4 linked regions of the Lepisosteus oculatus genome follow. The protein of the gene in region 1 purifies or fractionates together with the protein of each later gene. This does not show direct contact. Links are inferred from orthologs where the notes say so. Each region holds a gene or a part of one and is shown in the gene's direction. Other genes may lie near its edges. The genes, in order: polr2eb, polr3f, polr1e and csnk2a2b.

What was found.
Region 2: the proteins of polr2eb (region 1) and polr3f purify together in Homo sapiens (affinity purification with mass spectrometry; 4 studies listed by BioGRID and IntAct, counting the BioPlex papers as one, with this or other methods). This does not show direct contact. The link is inferred for Lepisosteus oculatus from reciprocal best matches to the Homo sapiens genes POLR2E and POLR3F.
Region 3: the proteins of polr2eb (region 1) and polr1e purify together in Homo sapiens (affinity purification with mass spectrometry; 4 studies listed by BioGRID and IntAct, counting the BioPlex papers as one, with this or other methods). This does not show direct contact. The link is inferred for Lepisosteus oculatus from reciprocal best matches to the Homo sapiens genes POLR2E and POLR1E.
Region 4: the proteins of polr2eb (region 1) and csnk2a2b purify together in Homo sapiens (affinity purification with mass spectrometry; 3 studies listed by BioGRID and IntAct, counting the BioPlex papers as one, with this or other methods). This does not show direct contact. The link is inferred for Lepisosteus oculatus from reciprocal best matches to the Homo sapiens genes POLR2E and CSNK2A2.

The regions. Positions count from the first base shown.
Region 1 is NC_090724.1:6,669,038-6,677,021, reverse strand, and holds the start of polr2eb (DNA-directed RNA polymerases I, II, and III subunit RPABC1), read left to right. Parts: upstream 1-4,715; 5' UTR 4,716-4,836; coding exon 4,837-4,893; intron 4,894-5,106; coding exon 5,107-5,281; intron 5,282-5,764; coding exon 5,765-5,880; intron 5,881-6,371; coding exon 6,372-6,452; intron 6,453-7,211; coding exon 7,212-7,270; intron 7,271-7,984. UniProt on the Homo sapiens protein: DNA-dependent RNA polymerase catalyzes the transcription of DNA into RNA using the four ribonucleoside triphosphates as substrates.
Region 2 is NC_090712.1:580,401-588,754, forward strand, and holds the start of polr3f (DNA-directed RNA polymerase III subunit RPC6), read left to right. Parts: upstream 1-4,952; 5' UTR 4,953-5,084; coding exon 5,085-5,140; intron 5,141-5,763; coding exon 5,764-5,881; intron 5,882-6,357; coding exon 6,358-6,425; intron 6,426-7,071; coding exon 7,072-7,139; intron 7,140-8,147; coding exon 8,148-8,260; intron 8,261-8,354. Other genes in the region: dzank1 (double zinc ribbon and ankyrin repeat-containing protein 1), read right to left, coding at 452-536, 744-936, 1,610-1,763, 2,263-2,371. UniProt on the Homo sapiens protein: DNA-dependent RNA polymerase catalyzes the transcription of DNA into RNA using the four ribonucleoside triphosphates as substrates.
Region 3 is NC_090696.1:67,217,094-67,225,063, forward strand, and holds the start of polr1e (DNA-directed RNA polymerase I subunit RPA49), read left to right. Parts: upstream 1-4,821; 5' UTR 4,822-5,880; coding exon 5,881-5,956; intron 5,957-6,416; coding exon 6,417-6,520; intron 6,521-6,971; coding exon 6,972-7,048; intron 7,049-7,312; coding exon 7,313-7,398; intron 7,399-7,666; coding exon 7,667-7,725; intron 7,726-7,970. UniProt on the Homo sapiens protein: Component of RNA polymerase I (Pol I), a DNA-dependent RNA polymerase which synthesizes ribosomal RNA precursors using the four ribonucleoside triphosphates as substrates.
Region 4 is NC_090715.1:11,437,083-11,444,659, reverse strand, and holds the start of csnk2a2b (casein kinase II subunit alpha'), read left to right. Parts: upstream 1-4,322; 5' UTR 4,323-4,339; intron 4,340-4,817; 5' UTR 4,818-6,174; exon of another isoform or gene 6,175-6,253; 5' UTR 6,254-6,285; coding exon 6,286-6,389; intron 6,390-7,577. Other genes in the region: cfap263 (cilia- and flagella-associated protein 263), read right to left, coding at 206-361, 1,405-1,581, 2,366-2,498, 3,293-3,387.

The DNA.
Region 1 (7,984 bases):
CCCGTTTTATTCTGGACCCTGCCCATCCATACAGCTCCGCATTAGTCACCACTTCAAACCGGATTCGCCCAGCTGATAGAGCTGATCAATGTCCTGCACTGTGTGTGGACTAAACCCATGTAACTGCAGAGGATCCAAGCAGTTCAGCGAGCAAAACATAAGAAAAGATACTGTTATCTTCCTGTGCCCATGACAGCCTCAAGATAAACACATTACAAGTCATAAAGCTTGCTGGAACCGAGGACAAAGGTTACAATACATATTTAGGAAGATGTCCCAACACTAAATAACACTGGACAGCGCTGACTTGACAAGACCACACCCACAAACGCACACTGGAGAGCAAGACGTCTCCACGTCTCACATTCGCGTTCTGAGAAAATGGGGGGAAAAAAATCCAATCATGTGAGCACTGAGGAAGCAGACAGGCTCTTGGGGATATTTCGGAATTGGACTAAAGAGTCAAAATGCTTCCTCGCTTCTTCCTGAAAGCCTGTTTCAGCCACAGCTGGCCTCCTGCAGTTGGGCCGGCTTCTCTCGAGAAGTCTACCTATCCAGAACCTGCCTGTGAAATACTCTCGTGCTCACAGTCATGTCCTGTTACCTTAGAACATCCCGTCTCCCTTCTGAGCAGCACAGATGCCCATTCCAAGCCGATCCATCATTATCGATATTGAAACTCCATTGTGTAAGAGATGCTGTGGCACATTCAGCTGTACCACATGGCGTGGCAGAATAAGAAAAGGAAGGGCAGCACAGTGGCGCAGGTGTCAGCAGTGCTGTGTCACACTGCTGGGGCCCTGGGTTCAATTCCTGGGAGTTTGCCGTCTGCGTGGAGTTTGCACGTTCTCCGTGTGTTGAAGTGGGTTCCCTCTGGGGGCTCCGATCTCTCGCCACATTTCACACGGAGTGGGAGGTCAACTGACTGGGCCCTGGTGTGAGTGTGTGCGTGTCGGGGTGTGTCCTGCGATGGGCTGGCGTCCTGTCTAGGGGGGTACCTGGACCTCCTGAATTGGATGAAGTGGTTAGAAAAAGTGGTGGATGAATAAGAAAGGTTACAAAAAAAGAGAAGGGCATTCAGCAGATCCAGTTCATCTGGTAATCAGCAGGTAATCGATCCGAGGATCTCTCCCAACTGTTTCCTGAAATTAGCAGGGCATCAGCTTCAACAACATGGCCGGGTAGCATGTCCAACACTCCTACAACCCTTTCTCCCATTTTTAGTTTTCAATGCTCTTCCATCATGATGCATTTCCTTGGCTTGTAGCCGCACTGGTGTCATAACGAAGAGCAAATGTTTAGCATTCTGCATCCTGGGTAGTTTTGGGGAAGGATATGGATTGCTCCTTGTTATAAAAAGTATTTTCATAGGATCTCATGCTAGACGTACTGGGGCAAAGGTGTAGTTAAGACTCTGGATTCCTGACAAGAGGATTGCAGGTTCAAATCCAACATAAAGGCACAGCTGGCATAGACTTGAGAGAGTCTCAACCTGAATTCCTCTAGTTCATTTTTAATATTAAATCTAAACCAGCTGCAATGCAGTTTATTTGCACATCCTTTTGTTTTTTTTAAAAAAAGTCATCTCGGTTGTTTGCAAGCGCCACAAACACTAAGCTTTAAAACTGCAGAGAATAAAAATGTTTTTTCAGTCTGTCCCTGAAACTTGAGGTTTCTTCCACTCTGTGACACTTCTCAGTTGCCCAAGACCCACACACACACAGTTCTGCAATTACACCAAGCCTACTGCTGCTATTAATACTGAAGGAAAGTTAAGCAAACATGCAATAAGCTTGCAACACAGCTGAAGACTGAAAAATTCCAAGATCGGAGGCTGCCTGCGTGTAACTGAGAAAATTACATCTTCGTGACCCGAGAAAACCAGAGCCTCGCAAACCCCTTTTAAACGTTTCTGGGGTAACGGACGCTTAAACCACTGTCAGATTTCACCGAGTCGTCCACACAAACACACGCTTGAACAAGGGGAACTCGCACCAGCAGGACACGAAAACCAGTTTAGTATCAACCGCAGGGCTAAAACGGTTTCTACCGCCTAACCAAGACACGAGTTCTTACACACTTCATAAGCGTGCCCAGAAAGACAAGGAAGCCAATTATCTTTAAACACATATGTGTGTGTGTGTAACTGGCAACTGCAGGGCAACCTCTGATGTCCGTCTTTAAACGAAAATTTAATTTAATAGGCGTTTCAAAACAGCTTGGCCTTCTTTTGAGACATTTATTCAGTTACTAGAGGGGGTGGGGGTGGGAGTAATAGAACCGTAAATGTAGAGGGGGTTAATTGATGGCAGACTCCAAACACTGACTTTTGCCCCACGCACACGCACGCTCTCGGCCTGCAGAGAACAGCCGTGGTCAAGCGCGCGACTGAGCTGACGTCAGGGCGAGGGCGCGCGCGCGCTGGCGGAATAAATAAATCAGTTTTCTGAGAGCTATTGACTCTATGCAAATGAAGCGCTTCTCACAATGCTCTCCTGTTCCACTCGTTTGTCAGGGCTAGGAGCAAAGCCCACAGCTCTGATCATGCCATTTGTTTTGCAGCAGTTGGATTAGAATCGAAGAGTCTCTGGGCAGCAAAGCTATTCTGCCTCTCGAGAGCCTGATATTTGAGGCAGGTCTTCATTTGTGCGATTGGTAAGGGCTTGTAAATGAACCAAAGGGCGCACTGAGAAGCAGTAGAAGGAGAAATCACGGGTCACTGTATGCACGCAAGATAGAATGAGTTACAGATCGAATAATCTGTAACTCATTCTGTTACTTGATAGTTAAATCGCCCAAAACCGCCTTTCTAATGTAATATAATCGTACTTGTCGCGTTTATTGTCGTTAAATGACGTTTTTAAATCATGGATTGAGACAGAAAGATCATCACAGTCCTAATTAAACTTGATTCATTGCTACAATGACGTATGTTAATAATACAGGTGCGATTTTAAGCAATAAAAAGATTTTTAAGGACAAGGCTCTTCCCGCATTGTTGTTAAGTTTTTTTGTTTGTTTTTGCTGCCTTGCGGTTTCTAAATCGCACGCAGCATTCATGGTGCATCACCATCCTGCGGATTACACACAACCTACCCAAACAGACTCCCAAGATCTTTACAATCATGAGGCGAGCGACAGAGGTTTCGGCAGAAAACACCAATGAAGGCCCGCTCCACCGTCTGCCTGAAAAGCAGCACAGCAGTAAAGCCCAGTTCTCACAATACTGTCGCCACCTGCTCTCGACACCGCAGTTTCCGTCATGTGCAGAATGACGGGGAACCAATAATAAAGGATATTTAGTGCACTGACGTGATTCATGTCTTATAGTATTAGGCGTGTGTATTGCCAGAATTATAATAATTAATTAATAATTGTTTACACTTATATAACGCTTTTCAGGACACTCCTCCAAGGCGCTTTATAGGTAATGGGGACACCCCCTCCACCACCGCCGCCAATGTGCAGCATCCACCTGGAAGAATTAGGCTAGTGCGCACCAATATCATTACTTAATAGTTTAACAGTCACGAGTATTGCAAACCCTACAGTGACAGAAAATGACCGTACGAAGCTTCACTGATCTTCTTCAAAAAAGTACTGCTTACTGACTCAGCGTATCTAAAAATATCGACTTCGAAAGCAACGAAGTGTAGGACCAAGCAAAGAGACAGATAATCACACAGGCAATCAGATTACAAACAGAACGCGAATGCCTTACCATAGCTCGTACAATCGCTCTGCTCGCCACCAGTCCGAAACACAGAGACCGTGTAACTATCTGCATCGCCCCACGGAGACTTAACTCTCCCGGCCAGGGCCCGCCCCGGAAAGAAGACGTTGGGGTCTTGGGCTATTTCCGGTTCAAGCAACTGCCTCACTGGGGTGGCCATTTTGGACCTAGTTCCTCTCCAAAGGGACGCGCAGAAACTAGCGCTGTCCCCGAGCCAAAATGGCAGCAGTTCAAAGCGCTTTCCAGGTAATGGGGACTCCCCTCCACCACCACCAATATGCAGCCCCACCTGGATGATGCGACGGCAGCCATAGTGCGCCAGAACACTCACCACACATCAGCTATCAGTGGGGAGAAGAGCAGAGTAATGAAGCCAATTCATAGAGGGGGATTATTAGGAGGCCATGATTGGTAAAGGCCGATGGGAAATTTGGCCAGTACGCCGGGGTTACACCCCTACTCTTTTGGAGAAACACCCTGGGATTTTTAATGACCACAGAGAGTCAGGACCTCGATTTTACGTCTCATCCGAAGGACGGCGCCTGTTTACAGTATAATAATAATAATAATAATAATAATAATTGCTTACACTTATATAGCGCTTTTCTGGACACTCCACTCAAAGCGCTTTAAAGGTAATAGGGTCTCCCCTCCACCACCACCGTCACTATACTGGGGCATTAGGACCCACATGAGCCGCAGGGTGAGCGCCCCCTGCTGGCCCCACTAACACCCTAACACCATGTTGAACGATTATTTTAGGTCTTTATTGGACCTTAAAAAAATGGAGAACTCAGTAGTACGTGGAAATAATAGCTAATAGCACCTTTTGGCTCAAATGGGCTTCTAAAATAGGTCATAAGCGATTTACTGATCTAATTGTCAAAAACGTAGTGCTATTATTTAAGAATAATACGATTTAAATATATTCTCAGATAAGTACGAAAGCTGATGGTGAAAATTACAGGCAAATGCTTGGATGCCAGCAAGGGGTCCATTGTGGCGACGGAGCGACGGAAGTCAGCTTGTTTGCGCGAAAGGAGGAAGCGTGTTGGAGGAGAGCGATTGAAGTTTTTTTCTGTTTCTTCTGAAAACAACGTACAATGGATGATGAGGAGGAGACATACAGATTATGGAAAATCAGGAAAACTATCATGCAGGTAAGAATGGAGCGAGTCATTTATTCTTTCCGTAAAAAAAAAAGAAGATAATTTGGGTATGCGCCGGTGTTCGCGTGTAGCTCTTCCGTGGGACACGTCTAGCCCCTTTCACGATCTCGGAATTGTACCATAAAAAAAAAGTTTTTTCAAAGATTAAAAAAAAAAGGTATTTCTCAGCCCGTGGTGACGGCTGCTGTGTGGATCGCCTTCTAGCTGTGTCATGACCGGGGTTACCTGGTGACCCAGGACGAGCTGGATCAGACCCTGGAGGAGTTCAAGAGCCAGTTCGGGGACAAGCCCAGCGAAGGCCGCCCCCGCCGGACGGACCTCACCGTGCTGGTGGCTCACAACGATGACCCCACTGACCAGATGTTCGTCTTTTTCCCAGGTGGGAGTTCGGAGTGCTTCACACCCACATGTACACATAGTCGCGCCACGTACGTCTAAACCAACGTTTGCCAAGCAGATCATCAGGCAACAGTCAAATATTCTGACATGCAAGTGTTGGCGACATAGCCAACGTTTAGAAACTTCGTGTTCGATCTTAATCACTCTGGGAGCCGTCAGGGTCCATGCCTTGCTGACTTCTCGTTCAGCCCTCTGTGTGCCTGGGAGATGGAACAAACTGTGCAGCACATCCTAGGGGATCCACACTCAGTGGAGAACTCCTCAGCACAGCTGCACCAGAAGCTATCGCTGGCCCCAGGGACTTTGCATGTGTTCAGTAAACTGTCCACAGGACTTTAACTGTAATTGAACCCTCAGAATCTCTGGCATGTATAAGGGGGGGTCTCAGATCTCGTCCAGTGTTAACTTCAGAAGAGCCTCTTTTTACTTGGAGAATGACCAGGCACATGTGCTCTTTCCACAGAGGAGCCCAAAGTTGGCATCAAGACTATTAAGATGTACTGTCAGCGCATGCAGGAGGAGAACATCACACGAGCAATCATCGTGGTGCAAATGGGCATGACACCCTCTGCCAAACAGGTACAACCCCCCCCTTAAAAACCCCCCAGTATCGCTCAAACCTCGCAGTTAGCCATGTTCACTTTCACCTGATCCTCCGTTAAACCAACATAACATGTTTAACCTGCTGCAACATTCGCACTGTGAGGTGAGGACATAAGATCCTTTCAAGTCCACATGCAGTTATATATTTAGATCGATAGAGGTTGATATTTTTTAGCAGAATAAGGGATGGAAGTTAATTTAAATTAGCAAGACTTCTCATTCAGTGAACACGCAGAGTTAAGCGGGAGATGAAAACAGCGAACATGAATAAAGTGCAGTAACGTTGTAGAAACTGTAAGCCCAAGGTGACACAAGCTTTGTTTCCAATGAAGGATGACATCGGTGATCTGAGACTTGTACCCATCGTGTGAGTAAAAGAAGCACACAGTGCCCACTAGAGGGGGCAGGGGGGAAGGTTTTGACGGTGGTGTGGTGTTTCAGCTGCATTGTTTCCTGTCCTTCTCCAGTCGCTGGTAGACATGGCCCCCAAGTACATCCTGGAGCAGTTTCTCCAGCAGGAGCTGCTCATCAACATCACAGAACACGAGGTGAGGAGAGCTTCAGCGCAGGCATGGCGAGCTGGCCCCAGAGCTGCGGCTGCCCCCACTGCCAACAGCACTGTGGAACTCTGGAACAAGCTACCCAGCCTTATTGTTGAAGCTGTCGCCATGGTTTCTTTCACAAAACAGCTGGACGAGATCCGTCAGTCATTTAGCTACTAAAAACTGTACAGATTAGACCTTGCAGAATGGCCTCCTCTTATTTGTAACTGGAAGAGACTTTGATCTCTATTATTTTTAAGTTAATAACTGCAGATATCACATTTGTCTCTTGACGGGGATAAATGTAGTTATGAACTGGCCGATGCTTTTAGCCAAAGCTGCTTTTGTGCCAATTTGTACAGGAGGGTGTTTTACAAGAGCGGTCTGAGTGAAGTATCTTGTGCAAGTCGTATCTTGCACAACTGCAATGCCCCACGTCCTGTGACCCCTAATGTGTTCTTCTAAATATTTCTTTTCGTTTCTGCTGTTTATTATATGTATGCCGTTGTACAGCACTCTGGGTTGCTTGAAAAGAACTCCTGAGTAAAATTGCATGAGGTTCAATAAGAGACGTGTATTATTTACAGTTGTGTACCTTTTGGATTATCAAGTGCAGGGAAAAAAAATCATACGTGTTTATATAACGGAACAAAGGAAGTGTAAGAAAACGGGGTTCGGAGCTGTTTGATTTTGCTAGTGCTGTGTTTTCTTGTTCTGCTGTGCTGTCAGGACTATGAGCTGGTTTCCCTTCTGCTTGTCTTGCAGCTGGTTCCAGAGCACATAGTGATGACTAAAGAAGAGGTGACGGAGCTGCTGGCTCGATAGTATCCTTCTCGCGCGGTTTGACCCACATGTCTTTTTCACACTCGGCTCACCGTGTGCTGTTCCGAGAAAAGCAGAGAACGTTGTCTTCTGGATGTTCTGGGAGTTGTGCCTGACAATATCGCAAAACATACAAATCGCCACAGAAGTCTGTCTCTTAGACTCTGCTAATTAGCACTGCTTTGCCTCAATACTTAACCCCTGTTCTCTGTACACTGTACTGGTGTCCTGTGACCTTTAGAGTGGACGTCCAGGTCATCCTGCTCAGGTATAAGGCGACACTGAACACTCCTACTGTGTGTTCTGCTGCCTCGGACCTTTGCTCTTAATACTAGGCTCTACACGATGGGCAGCAGAGCCTCTCGTGCAGCAGCTCTATGTGAAGCTCACTGCGCAGGTCCATTAGAGACTCTGCAAGGCCAGTGTTCTATGCAACTTGCTCTCATGGAGCGCAAGCTGGGGTCCGCGAAAAGACAAATTCCTAATACAAGAAATGGTATATGGCCCCAATAAAGTGATCCTATCTTATTAACAGTGGTGCAGCAGTTAGCATTGCTGCCTTGCCGCACTGGAGCCCTGGGTTAAATTCTGGACCTCTGCTGCTGTCTGTGTGGAGTTTGCGTGTTCTCCCCCATGTTCAAATGGGTTTCCTTCCAGCATCCAAAAATGTAAACTGGCTTCTAGAAAAACTGGCCGTGGCGTGAGTGTGTGTGTCT
Region 2 (8,354 bases), on another chromosome or scaffold:
ACAATATGCCGAGTCTGAGTCTTAGTGCTGCACTGTAACGCTCACACATTCAATGTAAATCTGGAAACGACTACAGATGAATGGCTTTCTGGCTATGTAAAAATGCATGCCAACCCCACAACAATCTTCTTAATTAGCATGTCTGTTGCAAACACAGGCTTTAAAATTGCTGTTTAGATCAGTGGATTTGTGATACAGATCACTGTGACAAGTCCTGTAGTGTGTGTGTGTGTCTGTCCACCCGCTGATCTGTCCACCTGTGTATCTGTCTGCCCACTGATCTGTCCACCTGTGTATCTGTCTGCCGATTGATCTGTCCAGAGAGGAACAAGGATTAGTGGACATGGCCTCCTTCAAGAGTGATTGTGACCAGGTTCTTAAGCATCTTGAAGCAGTCTCTCCGGGAGGCACAGCAGCTTTTCGTCCACTCTGCCTGAAACCTCAAACACACCTTGGAGCTTCTGTGCCGTCTCCTCCCAGGCGCTGCCTGCTGCTCTTCTCCCGCCCGGAAAGAAAGCGCTTCCTTCCAGGGATTCCTGCAGGTGGAAAGGCATTGAGAGTGTGGTGAGACCAGCACGGCTGTGCACTGCAGCAGCAACAAAGACCTGAGCCCTGGTCTCACTGATTCACCCTGCCAGGACCAGAGAACTTCACTCTGAGCACACTCGAGCATCAGCAGCATCAGCAGGTCTGTGTCTAAGAGCCTCGCTGGAGCGAGTTGTGACGGGTGAGACTTCGCTTGCCTTGCGGGCAGTGTCCCGGGCTGTGTCGCGGGCAGTGTCTCGGGTCGTGTCCCAGGCAGTGTCGCGGGCCGTGTCCTGGGTGTACTCTTCAAGAAAGTTGTCTTTATCATCTTCAAGTAAGGCTGGGTCATCAGGAGGAGGAAGATACTCTACCAGGAAGAACTTGGTGACGACTGCACTCTCCCTGCCATCCCTGAAACACAACGAGAACACGCCGTCATCAGCACCGCTGTACGTGCAGGGCTGAGGAAGCTCAGCTTCTTGGTGACACCACGGTGATCAGATGCCCCTGAAACAAACTGCACACACAAGACATAACAAAAATATTCTACTTGGAAACACAAAACTTTGTCAAATTCAGCACTTAACTAAAAATCTGAAAGCAGCAAAGCAAAGTTTTACATGTTAGCCTTCAGAAGGCTGGTATTTAAATTGCAAACAGCTGCTGCAGAGAGAGTGTAAGAGTGTCTGAAGGCTCTGGACACCTCAGTGACACAGGTACATTCTAACTGCACTCTACAGAAGCTGGAAACTTCAAATCAGGGTGTCCACATTGAGCCTCCTGCACCTTTGCTAACTTCTTTGACTAATGCCCAGTCCTTGCTTGTTGCAATCAACCACTTTCAGGCTGCTAGTTAACAGCTGATCCTCCTTTGTTTTCTAACATCATTATCTCCCGGGATATAAGCAGGGCAAGGCCAGGTCAGTGCTAGGATGGGAGGTATCAGGATCAAGCTGTTACTGGAGGTGTCAACCAGTAGGTGGCGCTATTTCCTCTTTTCTCTCTGAATCAGGATTTCTAAACCAAACTTCCTGGTTCGGTGGGAGGGGGCCAGAAGCACCCTGGACCTTCCTTTGCGACCCACCTGCTAACAGCGAGTGCTTTCACCGTTACCTTCCCCTCAGGTAAGGCTACGGGCCCCCGGTATCGCAGTGTGCTGCTCTCTCCAAACCCCGGCTTCTTCAGCACCTCCGGTTTACTGCCGTCCAGGGTGAAGAAAATACTGACGTCTGGGGTGTCTGTGAAGGAGACGTGCTGTAACCTCGTCAGCCACTCAAATTTGACACACCAGCCTAGTCCCTCATATTCCCCTCGTCGCGTAGAGAAAACCCTGAATCCCATTTGCCATCCCTTCCCTGCAGAGAGTTACAGGTCTGCTGGCCAGCACTGCCTCTGCACACGGCCTGCAACTCCAGCTGAGGAAGTTCCATTGAATTGGATCAATTCGTTTTGAAACTGATTGGTTTGTTTTAGTGGGAGAGTGACCGACTGACATGTGGAGGATATCCTTATATAAAGGTCAGTTTCTACAAGGTACAGCATTATTATCTACCTGAGAAAAAAATTGCACAACATTATCAGGACATCACTGCAGCCTCTGGCATTTCCAGTGACTTGAATAACATGCTGGAGGATGTTCAGCAAGACAAGCAAAATCCCAGAAAACACAGCAGCTCCCCGGCAGGACGTCGATGGTTCCACGATGAAGACTTTGGACCTGGTGCTCCTGGCTCTTACCTGACTTGATCTCCACGGGTGTGTTGGTGTCTATCTGGTGCTTGGCCTTGCCAGGCAGGGGAATTCTGATGGGAATGATCTGAGGTGCCACGATCGAGCCTGCCGTCATGTTCACTCAAGAAAACGACAGCTCTGTCGAACTGAGCCTGGAAAAGTAGAAGTCCAGTCAAATATAGATGCATAGTTTTCATGCACTCAGCAGACAGTGACGCAGAACAGTATATGTCTATAATACAGCGTCTCATTTGTGATCACTCATGACTACAGGGCAGGTCTGGTTTTTCGTCTATTTTCCATGCAGAAGGATCCATTCTCTCATTTTCGGAAAACTGCTTCTGGTGAGAGCAAGGCTAGTACCCCTTTTCCCAGGCCAGTAGAGGTGCTGAACCAGATCCCAGGCATGAACTGCTCTTGTCCTGCTCCAGAAAAACACAACTCTCTCCACAGAAACCCAGACACCCCCTCCAAACCCCGAACCCGAACCTCTCCACTAGCTGTGCCTGGGTATCCTGCCCAGGATCAGAACTAGACAGAACACGCCCTGCAGCCAGCGCAGCAGGAAGCTGTGTCTGCATCCCAGAGGACAGCCGGAGAGAGGAAAAGCTCATCCGGACAGTGAAGCCGGAATGTTGACCTCCATCCTGCAGCCCCCACAGGGTGGGGGTCACAGCCTGGAGTCACAACCTGGAGCGCCAGCCCAGCCTGCACCCCTCCGGCCTGGTGTCTTGAGCCAGGATCTAACCCTGGGCTGCATTACACAACACTCTCGGACCACGCATTGAGCAGTCCTTTACATGCACATGCAGTGTGGGGCTCCTGAGGGCAGATACAGCAGCTGTAGGATATTCTACCTGCTGATCAAAGCGATTGGCTGTTTTGTCCTTTCTTTTTAAATAAACCATTTGAACCAAAACGTTCCAAACCTATGATTTAATGCAATTCATTTATATGACCGGCACACTCAAGGCAGCATGAAGGAGGCAGATATTTACCATGTATGATTGAAAACTACTCACAAGTTACTCAGGTCTAGATCGCTCTGTGTAATAACAATAAGAACAACAATAATAATAATCCACTGGAACCAGTATCAGTACAGAAAACAACATCTTGCTACACAAAGGGTCCAAAAGGATCGTTCAACACAGGAAGAGACCCATCACGCCCCTCACTGAGTTCAGCTACCGAATTAATGAGAGCGTGAGGGTTGTGAGACTGTGAAGACCCAGAGCGGAACTTAGCCCGAACCTGAGGGTTACAGCCCTGCTCTTACACACAGCGCTGGAATCTGTCATGAACAAATGAACAAGCAGTCAGGACTTCACTCAACGTCACACAACGGGACACGCAATTAAAGACCTCTTTTTCTGATCTTAAGGCTATTTAAAAAGAACTGTAATTGGAAAACTGTCGGGCTACCTCTGAATCAGTTTCCGATCAATTTTAAGCGTACAAAAAACACGACAAGTGTGCATTCTTATTCCAATTACCAGCTGAAGGCGAAACAAATCCTGGATATGGATTTAAGGTGATTTCACGATCTTTCCATTCGTCCCCCGCACGAACTGCGATGATGTATATTTTAAAATCCCAAGAAAAAATAAATTGTACCTATTTAATTTAATATCTGCACATATACAATCAATCAATGACCGGACTGTGCAGTCGCGCTCCGCACCAGAATTGCGTGCAACCAGCTACGCTACGGTAACCAACACAACAGCGCAGCTCAGAATCCCATTGGAGGACAGCTTGGCCCCTAGCAACCAGCGGACCAATGGCTGCTAAAACAGCAAAGCTCGGACACCTAATGTAAAAGCTGCATTCACATGGAGTGGAAACCTATAATAATAATTGCTTACACTTATATAGCGCTTTTCTGGACACTCCACTCAAAGCTGTTTACAGGTAATGGGGAGTTCCCTCCCCCACCTGGATGATGCGACTGCAGCCATAGTGCGCCAGAACGCTCCCCACACACCAGCTATCAGTGGGGAGGAGAGCAGAGTAATGAAACCAATTCATAGATGGGGATTATTAGGAGGCCATGATTGGTAAAGGCCAATTGGAAATTTGGCCAGGACGCCAGGGTTACACCCCTACTCTTTTCTAGAAACGCCCTGGGATTTTTAATGACTACAGAGAGTCAGGACCTCGGTTTTACGTCTCATCCGAAGGACGGCACCTGTTTACAGTATAGTGTCCCTGTCACTATACTGGGGCATTAGGACCCACATAGACCACAGGGTGAGCGCCCCCTGTTGGCACCACTAACACCTCTTCCAGGAGGTACTGACCAGGCTCACACCTGCTGAGCTTCAGTGGGTTTCCAGTTGTGAGTTGCAGGGTGATCTGGCTGCTGGCTATTGAAACCTATTCTTGAGACTAATAACACAAATATCATCTTTAAATCACTAATTAAGCCGATTAAACCTAAAGATCAATTTAAAAACATATATTCTAAAAATGCATCTCATGTATCTGTTTTACAAACGTAAAGTACATCACGTATATACAATTGTATTACAATTAAATTATGTCTGGGTGTTTAAATAGTCTTAATTTCTCGTGCACTTCAACATAAAATAAAAAAATATTTGAAAGATTTCCTACGCGGTATAGGCTTTTTAACTTCACGTTTTGGTCAGGCACTCAGAGAGACTACTAAAACTGCGACACGAGGTAGAAGGACCCCAACCTTTTCGGAAATGCAGCATGGTTACCACCTAGAGAAGCTGTGTTGACATAGAGGTGGTGTTCCGGAGTTCATCGTGAATTAGGGATTACTGGATAGTTCAGTTGTGTTCTTCTGTCAGTTGAACATGGCAGAAGTTAAGGTAAAACAAGAATCTGCGGATCCCGTGGACATTGAAAACAGGTTAGGTTTGTCTTCTTTTAACCGTATGTCAACACGAAGTTAACAAGACAAAAACGCTCAAGAAACGTTACACACCGTCTCCGACAAAAAAAAAAATATTTAGGCTGTTACGTTGATTAATAAAGTGTTCAAGTCACGTGGTTTTGCCTAGCGCCATTTCACCTTAGAATTAGATTATTTTAAAAATTGAAGTTCGCTGGAGCTGAAAGTGTCGCGATATTCTTAAATGCAGCGACCTTTGTAACTCGTGCAGTTTTGAAGATACAAGTTACAATAAGACAGTTCACGAACGAGAGGTCATGGGCTCTGTGTAGATCGTTAGGACAATGGATTTGATCGATCTTAGGAACTCGTCCAATAGTTTCTGAGAGCAGGGAAGGCTATGCGTTTCAACAGTAGATTATTTTAGGTCTCCTTTTATATGACGTGTACCGAGTTGTTGTAATGTCTTGCTGGGTTCTGCTTGTCTAAGTGTTGGATAATTTGTCCAAACCAAAACTTTGTATGCAGTCCTTCAAGGAGCTTTAAATACGGCGTGTTGTACATTAAACACGTAGAGGACAACTGAGAAATGACAGCATGAGAACCTGGATAACTGACCCTCAGTCATTCCCGACTTCCAGAATAAAGGAGCTGTGCCAGCAGTTCCCGCACGGAATTACAGACCAGGTGATCCAGAACGACATGCCGCATGTGGAGCCACAGCAGCGGGCCATGGCCATCAACAGGCTGCTCTCCATGGTACATCCCACAAACCCTCTTTCATTGCTGTCAGCACACTAGCTAGCGCTGCGCTCCTGTCAAGGACTGGGGAGACCACGCTGGTTTAGAGGAAGAGGAATGGTTTGTTTCCAAACTATTTTCCATTTCATTCATTAGTTACTCATTTATTTTAATGTACAATGGTTGGTATTTGGCAGATTATTAAGATGCCTTTAAACATCTTTTTATAATCTCCTGTTATTGGAACATTGTGATAACTATTCAGTTATTATGTGGGGATCGTAAACTGAGCCTTCTCCTTCTTTCTTTTCACCTAATACTGCTGTTCTCAGACAATAGAAAGACAGAGGACCTAAAATTGTACATTCAATGCAGGAAATTAATAATTGACACACAGGGAAACAAATCTAAGGAGTTTATTCCATGCTGAGAAGCTGCTTGATATCTGTTTATTGGATGATAAATATGTAAGATTTGTCTCTTGTATCTTTCAGGGTCAGCTGGACCTCCTGAGAAACAGCAATGGTCTTCTGTACAGGCTGAAAGACGCACAGGTGGCCAGGTGCTCATACCTTTTACCTCAACACCATTGGACGTGATAGACCCTGCTTTGATTGAACTAAAATTGGAGATGAGCAGTTTTTCTGTAGAAAGCTGAAGTTGTATTCCAGTCTGAGAGGGTGACATTTTGGCGCTGTACTGCTCTGCCATAGAAGGACTTCTTTGTGCACACAGAAATTATTTCTAAGCAGTTAGATATTTCTTCAACTGTGTGGTATTTAGTGTAATCACTGTAACATAACTCAAAAATGAGAGTTGTCCAGTAGGGTAAAAATGTTTCTCATGATTATGTAGCAGTGTTCAAGAGGCTCGACAAACTAAGTGAACCACAGATTTTCTGCCACCTTAGAGTCTGCCTAGAGCTGTAGTGACCTTCAGTCAAGGAAATAGGTCTTATGCGTGCAAGCTGAATTTGTGATTCTCTTTGTAATGTAAGGTGGTCAGCATTGTATAATGTCTTCTCAGTGAGTTTAAAGAAAATGCACTGTCTGTCTGTACTTACACTGATGGACACCTATATCGTAACATTTTGCATTTGGTTATATGATTAAATTGAATATCAGTTCATCATCATTCATGTACTCCTGTGTGCTAGTGATTTAAATCACATGCTAGTGATTTAAAGTGAAATTTCCTCTTTTCACCAGTAAGATGAAGGGCTCAGACAACCAGGAGAAGCTGGTGTATCAGGTCATAGAGGATGCCGGAAACAAAGGTGAGCTTTCTGCTGTGGAAATCAAAATCTGCTCATTTGCACATGTGCTTCACCACATTAACGGCAACACTGCTGCACTGCTGTAACTGTAGACGTTACATTAATTATCTGTGTAGGAGATGAAGACATGAGAGAACAGGAGGTTAAGCAACTGTAATAACCTCTTCATATGGAGCAGTTGTTTGCCTTGAGCCGTTTGTTTTCCAATCACTTCTTCAGATTGACATCAGGAGTTTGTTCAGCTGAAAGCCACTGCCTACCTGTCAAAATCCTTAATATGTCCCATCATTATCATTGAACGTCATAGTCTGACTTAGTTATCTAGAGCACAAATGAAACTGGAGCACTGAGGCCGCGAGTGGGGTAGCATTGCTTCACAGTTCTGAGTGAATCGGTGGGCTGCACTACTGCTGTTCTTTGAAAGTGAACGAGTACAATGCTTCAGTTTCATTGGTTCATATTTGCAGACCTCCATGGACCTGAGTTTGTCATATATTTTCAGTGTGTTTTTTGCATTGCATTATTAATAATCTTTGGTTAAAGAGAATCACAGAGAACATACCTTTAGTAAGATTACACGTATTAAAACTGTTACACAGCTTGTCTATATTCATTGCCACTTAGAAGCTTCACCTCCTCAGGTCTCTGAAGCTAAGCAGGGCTGGAGCAGGTCAGGTAGTACTGGGATGGGGCACACTAGGATATTCAGGTTTCTGACAGAAGTAACTCTGGGGCACCACCAGGAGGCACTAATTCATCACAAACAGAAAATCCAAACCAGTAGCTCAGCATGGCTGATGTCCTTAGTACTATACGTGCAGTGTTGGGCTCTTTGAAAAGAACTAATAACTAAAACTGTTTTATTATTTACCAACATGCCCAGTGTCTTCATTAAAGATAGATCTTTAACTCAAAGATATTTCTAGTGGAAAGGAATTTTGATTACAGTGGTCTTTGTAAAATAAATTTGTATTATAAACACATTTATCGTTCCCTTGACTTTGGCAGGAATCTGGAGCAGGGATATCCGGTACAAAAGCAACCTCCCTCTGACGGAGATTAACAAGATCTTGAAGAACCTGGAGAGCAAAAAGCTCATCAAGGCTGTGAAGTCAGTGGCTGTGAGTGGACTCTTCTGGATCATCTTTGGGCCAGGTTTCTCTCACTGCCCAGGGCAGTTCTCTGAAGAAGGGCTGGACAGTTCTTGACAGTTCT
Region 3 (7,970 bases), on another chromosome or scaffold:
AGTGCAGAACACAGTGCATCCTTGTTTACGAAATGTACTGAAAAAAGGATCATGTCATGCCAAGAGGGGGTTTATCACTACTATATACTCTTGAGAGGCATTAAGTTGGGGTAAAGGTTATTGGTTCCAATGCCTCGACCTACTGTATACAACCTACAGAAGATTCATAGAATACACAGGAAGTTAAACTTTATATAGATGCGACTGCTTGCAGGTAGACAAACAGAAGCCATTAACAACAGCCAAGAAATTGAAGATAACTTCCTGTAAGCGATTGTAGAGAATTTCCTTATTTAATACGTATGAGTATTTATTTGTTTTTATTTAAACAAGCTTTTCTTATGGTCTCTCTAGAGACGCAGTGGTTACAGTGAGTTATGCTCACTTTGTCAATCCTGTGCATTTCCTCAGAGCAAACAGTGACAACAAACCATACGATACAAGGGGAAACTATGAGCAAATACATTTAAAACTTAGAACAGGAGGCACTTCTTCACCCAGACACCAGGGAGAAATGTGGAACAAGCTACCAAACAGCCTTCTTTCTGAATCCAATACCCTGTCAGAAACAGCGGGGTGAGATCCTTGCATCTCCCATCAGGCTAAGTGAGCCTCCTGCCTACAAGTGGAAAATATTCAAGACCGTGATAACTCTATTCAAGACTGGGTGTCTTTCTAAGATCTTCCCAACAGAAACTCGAAAAACCCATCCAGGAAGTCACAAAAACTAAAACCCAAGAATCTCTGCGGCTGATGTCAGCGTTCATACCTCAATCATCAGAAAAAAACCTGAACTGGAGCTGGTTTCGTGGGAGCATAGCCAGGAAGGAATCGTTGCTCTCTAACGTCACCCATGAAAGGTTTGATCACCTGGACAATCCACAGGACTGCAGGAAGATACTCTGGACACTTATGTCAAAAGTACAACTTTCTGGCGAGACTGAAAAACAATCAGAAGCCGTCTTCCAACAGAAGAACCTCACCCCAACATGTCAAGCATGGTTTGGGGTTGCTTTGCTGCCTCGAGACCAGATGACCTGCCATCATTGACAAACAATGAAATCTGTGTTGTATCGGCATATTTTGGAGGAGATTGTGAGGCTGCCCATTCATCAGCTGCAGCTGTGCTGAAATCAGCTCATGCAACAGGACACCAATTCTGAACATACAAGCAGATCCATAACACCAACAGCAGAAGAAGAAGAAAAATAACCAAGTCAAAATCCTGGCCTAAACCCTACAGAAATGATATAGAAGGACCTGATGTAAACTGTTCATGCTCAGCTGTTCATGGAGGCTCCAAGCAGTTCTGTAAGGAAGAATGGGCCACATTTCTCACAGCTGATACGAGTGACAGATAAACAGTTACAGTACACATCCAGTGTAAGTTATTGCAAGTGAAGGAGGTGCCACCAGTTCCAAAGGTCATTTACTGTTAGAACATTTTGTAAATCACATAATCCAACTATATATTAATTAGACTATGTTCATCTTTCATTAAGACTTTTATGAAGAGTTAATTATGTTTTAGGTCTAATATATACAAGAATAGGGACAGACCTAGAGTTAGGCAGTGCATTGAAACAAAGCTTCTGGATTAATTGCAATTTGATTTATCCAGAACTAACTTTCCTTGATGCATAGCTAGTTCTGAGTTCAAACTGCCCTTTCCTATTCTATACAGTCCAGACAGTGCTACTGGTATCCACCAATACTGTAGCAGAGCTCTGAGGATGGAAATGAAGACTTCCTCTGCACAGCCAATTGAAAGATGAGAGCTTCATGAGCCGCACACTCTTGTACAAATTAATCTGACCAGAGAGAAAAAGCATTTGAAATATTTCAATATCTGCAGCATTTGTCTATGCAAAGTGACTGAAATTGAAATACACCTGGAGATATCTTGCCAAAGAAAGCTCACTCTTGTAGGTTTCCAAATTCATCTTTACAGCTTTCATCTTGCATTTTTGGTTTTACAAGAAAGAAAAAGTATGAAATATGTCGGATTTAACAGTAACACGCAAAGGTCTCATCACTAGTCCTGCACTCTGCAGATTTCTTAGTTCATTGCCTGTAAAAGGTTCCAGCTGCTTCAAGGATTTAGCTTTCTTGAGCAAACAACAATTTACAGTAATTCAGGTATTGTAATTAAGCCACAAACAAAAGAAAACACTGCTACTCTGCCCAGTGACAGGGAAAACAACAGCACTGCTGTATGGCTTATTTGCTTTGTATTTAAAACTGTTGTACAATTGTTGCACACTTGTATTATGCTCCACCTTTTATTAAATGGATAAATCTCCCTCATCAAAAAACACAAAGTACAACTAAAAGTACAAAAAAAAATACACTCAATTCTAAAAAAAAAACAGTAATTTCCGTTTGACACGAATGTGGTAGGGCTGCTTATCTTTCAACTACTGTAGACAGTAAACTCTTTCAGAGCGCCACGCTCACTGACAGACAGACTCCAGTGCCTCCGAATCCTCAGGACCAGGACAAACCACATCCCCTCAGCCAACAGGCATGAATCACTTAAAGGCCCAACACTCCGTGATCCACCATCTCTCGTCCCTCCCACCTCCCCTCGGAGAGGAGCAAACCAGAACAGGAAGTGGACCTGACTGGGCCTCTGGACACTTCCTAGCCAGTTTATATACTGATTAAGCAATAACGCAGTATACCCTCTTCCTGGGCTCCAGAATAGATACTGTCTCTCAAGGAAAGGCAGATCCTGAGGGCACCTTGGATATCAGGGAAAGTGTTTCACCACAAAAAACTGGATTGATGCTTCTCATGTTTCAGTGCTGTTCTGTATGGCTCCGAACATTTCTAATATTTTTCTTTATTTAGACAGATAAGAACAAACCCTCTCTACAACAATGACTGGACTACACAATCTCTACTGGTGAAATACCCTGCTTCGTGGGTATATAGGCGGTAAGAAGTAAGAATAAGCAGGAGCTCTTCTGCATGCTAGTTTCTCTACATTCCAACCCGCGCAAAGAAAACAGCTACTATACTCAAGAGCATGAATACAAAAAAAAACACAAAAGAAAGGATCTCCATTTGACATCATGTTTATCTTTCACATCTTAATTCGCCCATTTATGTAAACGACGGGATAAGAATTCACAGTGAATTTACTTCAAAAAGCTACACATCCACCAAATTACATTACAGTCACCCCCCCGGTCCAAGACAAGATGCACACATACGTCGAAAGTATGTTTTTGGCTCCACGTATAAAACACTTTTTGAAAACGACTCCCCCCCCCCAATGAGGGGCAAACGCAATCAAGTCCAAGTCTCTGAAACATCGCGTTGCTTTGTGACAACAAGAGCAACACCTTCATAGTCTGCCCCCTTCTCTCAAATGGAGTCAAAAGCATGCGAATGTGGTGTCAGGCCAGGAGCCCCGGGTTTCTGGGCGAGCAAGAGGCGCCCCAGAGCCCGGCGTAACCTCCGGGCTGCGTGTTGTCAATCAGTTCAGCCGAGAGAGGTTCATTCAAGGTAACGTCTGCCAAACGCAGCCTCGCCCCCCGAACTGTATATCGCTGTGAGATATCACCATGCACTCTGTAACGATATCGCACTACACTGAGGATGCATTACCAAAAAAATGTTAAATTCAGCAAAATCAGACTGGCGATCTCGAAGACTTGGCACAATTATTTTAAATAAAAAAAAGCACACATCGCCGTCGGCTGAGGATATGCAGCTACTTCTATTCGGTTATTCTTTTCCTATCGGACTTGTGGATCCATCACTTCGTGCAAGCGGGCATAGTTTGCAGATCGTATTAGATTAAATTGGTCCTGAAACGGCGAAATAATATGATTTGTTCCGATCAAATTCGTTCGGCTCGTAGATAAAGGTTAAACCCACAGAGGTATTTACTTCCAGATAAACAGAATACAGTAGCTGCCATTAATTGTCGGTATCTCCCTCATGCAGACGATATTATTCAGTTTTGTGTTTGTATTTATCCCTCCCCCCAGGAAAAAGGCTTTCGGCTCTGCATCCAGGAGCCTCGTCTGGCTCGTCTGTCTCCCTCTCTCTCTCTCCGTCTCACACAGGTCTGCTTTACATTATTTTCTGATCTGTGTCACTGGCCAAAAACAACAGCAGGAGGGGGAAAAAAAAGACCACACACACGTTACCTTTTACCCGAGATCAGAACAAAGCACACCCCTGGGAACATATCACATGAAGCCCAACTGAGAGGCCGGATAACAGAGGCGTTTTTTTTTTTCCCGTCCTGTGCGTCTTCAGATGTATTGAACACGGAGAGAAATCCTGTCCACGAAGGGGGTCTTCTCCTCCCTTTTCTTCGCTGTCTTGCAGGACCAGTCTGTCTGATGTCTGTGTTGTTAATCCAGCGCCTGCGTGCTGCCGTGCACTGGGGAGGCTTGCCCAGGATAAAACTGGGAATAGACTGGGAATCGCAAAGCCTACCTTGTGTGATTCAGGACGACGATATCCCCTCTAGCATGTACCCGGACTCGATGCCTCCGCTGTCCAAAAACGACATTTACAGCAACAACAACAAAAGTAGTTTCCCCGGAACAGGGGGGTTAACAGTCCGAGAAAGCGAGTGAGAGAGAGAGAGAGGGAAAAAAAAAGTTCCCCTCCTTTTCCTGCAAATCTGCAAAAACCGGAACGGGAAAGCAATATCCCAGACGAGTGACGTTTTCTGACTGCTGCACCGCAGCGCCGGGGGCCCGTTATTTCACTCCGGGGCGGCAGATTCTCACTGGCCGGAGAAACAAGCCGCGAAAACCCGGAGAGAGAGAGAGAAAAAAAAACCTACAGAGCACCTCGCTTGTTGTAGCTACAGCCCAAACGATTGAGAGCCGGGCTGCAACTCAGTAGGATAGGGGTTTATTTTTGTGGTGTTTCGTGTGTGTGTGTGTGTTTTTTGGTACGTTCCTGTCATGAATAAAAAAGACGCTGGACACCAGCAGCGTTTCGACTAAATTAGGAAACTGCTTAATATTCATGACCGGTTACTAAACTTTTTTAAAAATAAATATCCTCCACTTGATCAACGTCGTACGGTTCACACGTTTGTTGTTTTGGCTCTGTATTTGATCCGCTAAAGCCGGGACAACCGCCGTTTCTTCCTGAGGCTCAAAACTGTCACTACAGCACGACAGGGGAACCTAAATAAAAAAGTCAGAGGGATTGGAGTATTGATAAAAATGGAAAACGAGCAGCGATTTCCTGAATAAAACGAATCCTGTGATATACGATCCTACAAATCCCCAAGAAGATGCTCAACGAGGGTTTCAAATGTCAATGAAGTTTACGTTTCTGACTCCTCTGACCACCTTACTGTACCTCGTAATGTTTTGGCGTTTAGAAACTTCTGGACCGATTGATGGTGGACTGGGGTTTGTGAAGTCTGGCATGTTATTTTGTATCTGATGACTTTAGTGCTGTTGATATGATTTTTAAAAACCTGGTGCGAGTGTCAGAGAGACTAAGAAAATAACTCATTTGTTGTTATGCTGTTTTTTTTTGTTAATAGTAGCTGTGTATTGTACCCGTTGGGGAAAAAAAATACAGCTCCTTACTGGAACCCTATATGGAACTACATACGTTTATTATTTATTTGTGCTTTGAAACAACCGAACAAAAGCAGATGTTCTCTCTTCCCGGTATTGTACAAATCCCAACACATCCAACCGTATGGACCTGAAACGTGAATGAAAGGCCTTCCAAACGATGGCAAACAAAACGCCCGACTCAAGCCAGTTTGTCGCCGAGTGGGCGGTGTAGAGCCGGAGTTCGCCGCTAGGGGGCGCTGTCGGTTATAAGCGCCGCTGACGCCCGCCGGCTCAGAAGTCGCTTTCGGGTTCAGGGCCGAGCACAGAAATGGCAGCCTCCTATGTTTGGAAACACTGCAACGAGGAACGGGAGGAACGGGAGGAACGGCCGCCTGCCGCAATAGGTATACCGCGAATTGCTTCAAAAACGGAGACAGTCCGCCTCTTCCAGTTTATACCGGCTGTAAAAAAAAAATCGTATTCGTAAATATATTTTCTCTGCTGCAATGTTGGTCGTACACGTGGTAGTAAAACGACTGTGAGTGAAGTCAGTGCACGTTTTACACTTAAGCTGATTTTGGATAAACGTAATTTATGATTAAACCTTCTCAATAAGTTTAATTTAATTTTAAAATTCAAGGAGTTCCAGCTCTGGTTGTCTAGGTGTATAATCCTGAAGGTCTTTGGTTTCTAGATCGATACTAAAGAAAACGATAGATTATAGTGTAGACGATTATAGTGTAAACCTGGAGTCTTTCTGACCGTTGTGGTGATTGTCTTAGTCTGAGAGACCGAAATAATGCCTTGCTGAGTTTTTTTACATTCTTAGTTAATCATAGCTGGTTCCCACGTCTTCTTCTGCAGTTCAGTTTTCCAATGGCAAACTCAGAAACGCCGACCTGGTCGACTTCACGTTATACAGAAACACTGATCTCAGCAATCCAAGAAAGAAGAACAGGCGCATTCTGGTACGTTTAAATGTAGTTGCAGATTTAAGTATCGGCCCACTTTAATCTAACAACTGCATTTTTATTGTCATTGTTGTCCGCTAATATGTAAGTAGTTGAATTGCTTAATTAAACCCTTTAAACCCTGTTGTGCTGTTCAGTATGTGCATGTTCTTGAGTACATTTTCGAGTAAAAAAGCAAAACTCCATAGTTTCCACAAATAAACTGCTTCCACCCGGTATAAATATATACAAACTGAAATCGGAAATGATTTGATAGCAAAATGGTTTGCAGGGGCCATTCTCTATAACCAATTTTGGAATTTTGTTAACGGCTAAAAAAATGTAAATTCCCTTGTCACTGTGATCCGGTCTTGTATTAAGCAGTTATTGAAAAATGACGAATAGATGAAGGTTAATATTAGATTGGTATCCCGATGACTCAGGTTCTGTCTCCTGTGTTTTGTCACAGGCTGCAGAAACAGACAGGCTCTGCTACGTTGGGAATAATTATGGAGCTGAAGCCTTGAAATGTAACACACTTTGCAAGTAAGTCTTTGCAGGTGGAAGATGTTTCCCTAAAGCTTGCTGATGAAATTTCAGAAAATGTCCCGGATCTGAAAAGTAATTTCTACGGATGTATACATATGTGCTTCTTGACCAGTGAAGAACTGCACTCTGAGAGAATGCAATCATGAAGTCAACAAAAGTTGAGAGAAGCTTTTTCTCTACACAGTTCTGTTGGGGTCATGTGACCAAACACTGTACCTGTGTCCTTTCGCTACACTAACGCATGATGTATTCATTCCCCAGGTACTATGTGGGTGTTCTGGACAAAAAAACCAGGACAATGAATGTGCACAATGTGGAGCTGTTCAGTATGCAGCCAGTAATTCCAGGTATGCTGATGTCTCCAAATCAGTTGGGTAGTGCACCTAGTTTGCTAAAACGCTTATTTTCCCATATGACATACTGCAAATCTTTAATGTTGTGTCTAAACCTCTAACGTTTAAAATCCATGTAGTTATCGATGGCAGCGGGGACAGATTTTGCTGCCTTAACAGCCTTTTTCTTAGACATTGGAGTTGTCTATTCTGTATTTGGAAAACTAATGCGTATCCTTCTGATTTATCAAAAATACTTACATGCTTGCATGCATATTTGTAGGTGAAACTGTAACTGAAGTTGACGCCTTGGAGCACAAGAATAAGTCCTACAGAGAAAAGGTACTGTAGTGTTTAAAGTGATCTGATCTCTTGATACTCGACTGCTTCTAATGCTTTGTGAATGGGGGAAGCAAGGTTGTATTTAGTTTCTTCTCAAGATATTCACTGCCATGTTTCCATTTTATTGTCCCGGCTATAGATTCAGCTGGGCTACTTTGCTAATGAACGCAATGCTGAACTGTAACTGAAAAACAAACTTCCTGGCTTGCACTGTAGTTGCTCTTATCACCAAAAACTAAACCTCC
Region 4 (7,577 bases), on another chromosome or scaffold:
ATGAACTGAACAATTAACTAATTAAAGGCATGCCACTCAAAGATCTGCAGCAATAACACAAATGCACTATTTTGTGCAAATACCCTGTTTTTTTTCTCTTTTAAGCTGCAGATCAAGGTCCTACTTAATGGCCAGGCTGTTGCATTGGCTGGGACCCCAGTCTTTGTACCCTGCCTGTTCTCACACACGTCCTGTGCCTGCTCACCTTTGCCCTGGTTCTGTCCTCGATATACCGCACTACCTTCTCTGCCCCCATCATGACACCTCTCTTCTCCTGCAGGACCCGGGCGACATCACGCTCAAATTCATACGTGGCCTTCTTTATTTCCACCAGCCGGATATCAGCCTCTTCTGTAGTGGCCTGGGAGGTCAACACAGTAACAAGAAAAAATGGCAAAAGCCACAAGCAAAGGCATGCAGCTCCACCCCCAGCAAGAGATAAGCATGTTGGAGCTCAACCATGAAAAACTACCATTCAGAGTACCAGCCCAGAGATCCCTGACTTCGACATTCTTAGAGATTTGTGAGAGGAGTCCTGTACACTACTATGCCATAAAATGTCTGTGGTTAACTCAGCATCTCATCTAGCAGATTCTCAAAGCACTGCAGATATCATAACCTAGAGCTGGACATGGCAGCTGTTTCTGTGTGTAAACCGGAAGCACTGATGTAGCACAGCACAACACACAGTGAGAACCAGCCAGGGTCTGTGCAGCCTAGGGGACAGCTGGCACACAGGCGAGTTATTAATGAGAACTGCAGTCCCAGTTTCTCACACTGGTTATTAAATCTCGGTAACAAAATAAAGTCATTGACATTATAGGGGAAAAATGTCGAAATTCTGAATTAAGCACAAATTTGTGAACTTAGTGAAAGTACTGGATGTTGTCATAAACTCACACTCGAGTTCCCACAAATTGTGACATGATGCTGCCCTTCCTGCTCACTATTCACTGTAATGGCTAATGTAATGGGATGTACCAGTGAATACGTACAGGTTGTGCAGCAGACATTTTACCGCAGAAATGGAAATCTGATGTTCCATAAAATGTCTACAATGTGCAGAGTTTAACAATTAAGTTGAATTTTCAGCAAACTGTCTCGAAATCGAGAGCAGTATTTCTATTGGCTTTAGAGATGTATTCACAAGCCGGCTTCTTTACAATGTAATGGGGCCGCTTCACCTCACCAGAGTTTGGTCGCCTCCTTCTAAATCGCAGATCATGGTGCTGCGCAAACGTAGACATGGGATCTATTTTGTGCAGAAAATTGGAGGTTTACACGCTACTGTGTACATTGCACTCTAATTGTGGTTTGAAATGCGCTCATCCATGCAGATTCTAACAGCGGACTCTGAAAATAGCGTTACATCTCCCTCCCGCTTTAACTGCGCCCAGCTCCTACCCTGTAGTTGTTGAGAACTCGCTCCGAGGCCTCTTTCAGTCTGCCCAGGTCCTCTCTCGTCTCCTCCAGCTCCCGCTGGGCCACGTCGCACTTCTGCTCCACCGTCAGCCGCTGCAGCCGCTCGGCCGTGAACGAGCGGCTCTTGGACTTGCTCCGGCCCCGGGCCTGGCCCTGGCCCTGCGGACGAGACCGAGCCGCGTCAGGGCCAGCCGTGGGAAGCGCTGGCTATGACGACGGCGGGCCTCTTCTCGTTCCACGAAACGCGGCGGGTTCACGCGTGTCAGGACAGACAGATGTACCGTTTCATTACTGTCCCGAAGCTTGGGGGCAACGTTCGCAGAGTCCCTCGTGTGTGTTGTGAAAGACATCACATTGATGCCGACAGCTTGTTTTCACTGACTCAAAATGTGCCAGGAACTGAATAAGAAACCTGAATTCTCCAGCGCTTGCTAGGGGTTTGCGTGCCCTGCGCTCTCTCAGTAGTGCTCTTTTTGATGGCTTCTGGTTACGTTGTTCTTTATCGTCTTAATTCCATATATGTTGTCAATTCTACTAAAAACTGCCTCCAAAAATACCCCCCAAAATTTAAAAAGTGTGTGTGAATGTACCACAAGTACATGATGGTGTCCTTGTACCTCAAGGATAAGGGAAAGAGAAAGTTAACGTTTTTCAGACAGCTTTGCAGGTGTGATAATCACTATGTGCAGCAAGCAGCCCTTCCCTGCAGCAACACAATCCACGGGAAATGCTTAAGGTGAGAATGGAAAACTAAAGTCATTAAAAAATAAAGAAGAAAACCGAACAAGACGTCTAGAGTACGAGATCTGGGCTCTGACATCCCTAAAATGACACATCTCGGCTCACTGACAGGTGCTGCTGTAAGATCGGAGACAGACCCAAGTAACCCCCCCCACTGCGGCAGAGACAGCCGGGGCGCCCCACACGGGCATGTCCACCATACCTGGGTGACCTCCGCCTGGGACACGCCCAGGGTGGGCTCCGCCGCGGCCGCCGGAGCCAGGTCTTTGGGGTCCAGGCGGCTGATGTACCTCTGGAACATCTCCGTCTCGGCCTTGAGGACACCATTGGAGCGGCTGGCGACACAAGAGGCAGGACAGGGGCTGCTCACGCGTGCGTTCTCCGGTGTTAGGAAGTGACTCTCAAGCTCAGCGACCTCACGCTACTGGTTTCCTACCCGTAGCGCACTTTTACGTCCTTCTGCCCACGTAGGCGTCATAAAGTATCTATCTATTGCAAGACGTGCTGCGTATTGCGGTCACACATGTGTCGGACGGGATTTAGGTCAGAATTACCGGATACGACACCGGTGCGGTTATAAGGCCCTCAACCGTTTAAACACCTGTTTTTGCCGTTTGGCGCAGCTCACTTTCATTTGCCTAGTGTTAGTCTACACAGTACCCGAGCTGTGCGCATTTTCCTGGTTACACGAGCAATCGGAAGCTGAGGTGCAGTCTAGAGATTAGTCGAGCACCTCTCCTGCCTTGTCGTTCGTACCTTGCCTTCTCTCTTGCATGCAAAGTTGAATTAGAATGCTCAGCTAGTATACAGTTCAAAAGAAAACACGACATCTCAAAGAAGTGATTTTTAAAAAATAAGTGTGCATGGAATTATGTGCTCCTAACCAGAATAGTAGGATAGACAGACCAACCGCAGGAGCTGCAGGTATTTTGTTTTTGTATTGTGGTATTTCAATGTGAGAGCTTTTAACGCTTGAAAACAAAAGTACCCTCTGAGCCGTCAATCTTGCTCTGGACTAGCTTCAGAAGCTGTTGATCAAGCTATCCCGTGTACATCAGGGTGTACGCCTTATCCGAACTTCCCCTCGTCCACATTTTCCACACCGATTGGTTCTCTCTATTTACAGTACCTGAGTTCTTCTACGAGCAACACCAATTCGTGCGCCCCGAGCTCGGAAAACTCCGGATTGTCGTCTGCCTGGGACTCGCACTCTGCCTCCGCCATGGTTGCCAGGATAAACAAGCGAGGCTGAAGTTGGCAACCAGCGTAGACGTCACACACGGCGCGTGACGTCAGGCGATGACGCCACCGCGGTTTGCAAGACAATTTAGTGTCAATATTGCCGGTCTTTTCAAGTGTTTCCTTATTTCACGATTCATTGTATCTTGTACTCCGGCCCTCCATGACCAGGAGTTAATGTCACTGAATCATACATTACTGCCCCACTGTGTGGGTAGAGAAGATTGCAACTTGAAACAAATAATAGGGACATTAAAAAAATAATGTGTCGCTATACATCAATAAAATCGGTCGATACACGTCACTTATAAATAATGCCACACCTTTGCAATAGCAAGCAGGTTTCCAGGTAACAAACAACAACGTCTTATTCATTTTGAACTCAAATCAGTGTAATATATTACCCTCCATCTTGCCAATATGTAGCATCCAGTGTTAAACTTCCGTTTACGATGCGGGGGCCCTTGCCGCATTAGGTCGGCCCCCCACCGTCGGGGGCTCGAACCCGGGACTTCCGCGTTACTCAACAGGGACCCAGCCCGGTGAGCTAAAGAAAAATCCCTCTATACTGTTATACAATGACTCTTGATGCCGTCCATCTGCGCGTTTCTAACGTCTTTACTCCAGAGCCTCGAGCTGATATGTCAGGAATGGCGCTGCGTGTATATATATATATTTCATTTCCAGGGCTCCTAAATAGGCCCTTAACCCCAACTGCTCCAGGGGCGCCGTACAATGGCAGACCCTGCGCTCTGACCCCAAGCTTCTCCCTGTCTGTGTGTCTGTGTCTCCTTGGAGAAAAGCTGGGGTATGCGAAAAGACGAATTCCTAATGCAAGAACTTGTATAGGGCTAATAAAGAAACATTATTAACATTATTATTATTATTATTAATTGCAGCACCTGCAGACCGGATTCCTCCCTTCCAGTAGGCGGCGGTAAGGTTGGCCACTGACAGCCCGGTAGCGCTGCTCTTGTCAGAGAGAGGATTATACTATTGCGTGCAAGGTTGCGCATGCTAAAAGGGACACAGCGAAGTTCAGTTCTGCTTCTAACGTTGACTAAGAGATATTAAAAATGCAGCAAATGGACATTGGAAGCCATAGTATTTGTGGCGGTTTAATGACTTTCAGTACATTAAAAAAATATATTTTAAAAAAATAAATCAGTACAGCCACGAGAAAACGGGATATTTACAATATTTAACAATATGTTAAAACCCTGCTGGTCAGGGTTATAAAAATGCCCCTTAAAACGAAATTAATGTATAATTTTAAGCCATACAGCCTTATTAAATGAAGAGGTGAATATTATTAGGTAAGAATAGAATAAGGCTAAATGTATATTATTAATTGTACCTAGCCACTTTAACAACGGCGTAACACTATATTATTTAATATTATTTTATTTTTGCAGGTATGACCGTGTTGGTGATAACTGAATCCTGTTCCAAAACCGTGAAAGGCGGCAGTAAGAGCCAGTTTCTCGGGCGGTTTAAAAAGCTCGTCTCGTAACGCCCCAGGATTAAAGAGGAGCAATGCGATCAGCTGGAACAAATCGACGTGCTTCATGAGCTAGACGCGTCCTCTGACCTCGTATGAGTGCTTCCGAATTGGGTTTAGATTTAAAAAAAAAACGAGAGAACCGGTAAATTCTGAACCAGACGACATGCACACGCCTGTCTTTACTGAACACACTGCCAGCCTCTTTCAATGCAGTGACCGATAAGGGGGGCTTGACGGCCAGTTTAACTTTATTGCTGTCGGAGCCTGATTCTCAATTCGAGCATTTGCAGGAAACACTTTTCCAAGGCTCACACCGAAGCAGTACAGACCCCCCCCCCTTCTTCTTCTTCTTCTTCTTCTTCTTCAAGCCCTGCCGGAAGTCGGCAGCTCTTCACCGCCACAAGGTCGGGCCCGGCGCTGTCTAGTCGTAATCCGCTCGTCTATGGTCGCATCCATCTTCGCGAAGCTGCGATCGTTTCCGGGTGGATCTGCCGCAATCCGGTTGCCTGTGGTACTGGCCGGGGGAGGGGGGTTCCCATAGAGATCCCCGAATCCGACCTCCGGAGCGATTTCCCCGCTCTCCTCCAGCGGCTTGGACGGCGCTCGCAGGCTTTCGGGGTCCCGCCGGCCGGGGCGCAGAGGGAAAGCGGCCATCGATCCGCTCGATCACCACCGGGCAGCGAGAGCGCCGATCATCTCCTCCCCCCCCCCAACCCGCAAACACACACCTTCCCATACCACCCCTCAACTCACACACACACACACGCCGGCTTTGCGTTGAATACATCCTGTAGACCCGTAGTACTGGATTGTAAGACCGTTTTTCGTCAACATCCACGGCACCGGCGCCATCCCCATCCCCCCCCCTCCACCCGAGGATCCGTTCCGCCTCTCGCAGGGCCTGGACCCCGGGGGAGTCTCAGCGGGCTTCCCTGTCTCCGGATCAAGGGTTTCGCGGCCCACAGCGGGATGGGGGGGTTCGCCTGCAGTCAGTAGTTTCACGGCACCCCCGTCCCCCCTCTCCCCACTTTTCAAAACCTGAAACTCCAGACTGCGCGGGTTTCGCCACCGCCTCCGGAGGTGCTCGCCTCCCGCTCCGTCTCCTCACCGGGCTGATTACCCTGGCGATCCCTCTCCTCCTCCCTCTCCCCGCCGCCGCCGCCGTTCGCGTCCTGCAGCCTGGGTCCCCGCTCTGCCTGGCTCTCCGGGCTACGATCCCTGCCTGCCGTGAGCTCTCCGGACACTGCGCCCAGACCTCCCCGGAGAAGGTACCCGGCGGGAGCCGCCCGCCCTGCTCAGACGGCCCCCTCTCGGCTCCGATAACCGCCCGCTGTCCCTCGTTCGCAGCGGCTCCCCAGACCCCCTCGCCCCGGCTAGCCATGCCTGGCCCCGCGGCGGGCAGCAAGTCTCGGGTGTACGCCGACGTGAACACTCTGAAGAGCCGGGAGTACTGGGACTACGAGGCACATGTGCCCAGCTGGAGGTGAGGAAGGAAACTCGCAGGGGGAGAAAAAAAAACAAAAACACGGGGGGCGCCGAGACCCCGGGACCCCGAGACCCCGGGCGTTTTGGACGCGGTAGATAGCGCGCAGCAGCCGGCTTAGAAAGTTTCCATTTCAGCCTTTTTGCCAAGGCCTTCCAGTGCGGCTTCCTGAACCGCCGAGCATTTAAAATTGGACTCCGTGAATGCTTAATTCGTCGTCATACCTAAACTCTTGAATTGTTTCTTGGGGGGGGACTGTAATACCGGCGCTGTAGAGGCAGCTAGACAAATAGAGCACAACGCACAGTCGGAATAATTTGGCACCTGATTTGTGCTGCCTAATCGATGGCAGAGGAATTCTCATCTCCATCAGGCCGTGAAGTTTCTTTGCTTACCCGCAGTCCCCGGAAGACCAATTTTATTTATACCTCAGGAGCTGTGTGTGGGTTTGTTTCTGTCCGGTTTTATGGCTGTGAAATAATCGCCGCTCTTGAGCTTCCAAAAGTCACCGAAGACCACAGCTGAGCACAGAGCACAGGCGGTGTGGTCTTTTTGGAAGATTCTTTTTAAAAGTAGGTGGTTGTTGTTTTTTAAAAACGCGTTTAAACAAGGCATTGTTGATTAGCTTCTAATTTCTTTGTATACGTGGGGGGTATTCAATGTAAAAAAAACCCACTTAAATGAATGAAATTTGTGATTTTCACTGGGAGATACTGGAATTAAGGAAGCACATTGTCCTTGTGTTGAATGGAGGACATTGCAAAGCACCAATGACTGTACCGGGAGCTCACAGCAGGTGTCTGGCTTTAGGCTGCCTGGGCCTGTTGTGTACTTCTTTGAGGTACAGTAGGGTGGCCTGAGGCAGGCCTGCATTGTTCACCTTTTTAGGGTTTTCCTTCCCTTTTTTCCCAGTCACTGACATCTGCTTTCTACGTTGATCGTTCCAGTGCAGTGATGAAGATTGTAAATAAAAGAGAGCCAGACGGAGACAAGCAGTCCCCGAAGTACCAAGTACCCACATACGTGTAGAGCGCTACTTTTGTGCCTGTAGTGTAGTCTCTCTGCACCAGCTGTTCTGTGTATTAGGCCCAGAACAGTGTGCCTGCTCTATCCATGTGGTTCGGGTCTGGTTCTTGTGTTACGTGATCACAAAGAGTGCTCATTTTAACATGGCAGTGGGCTTGCGAG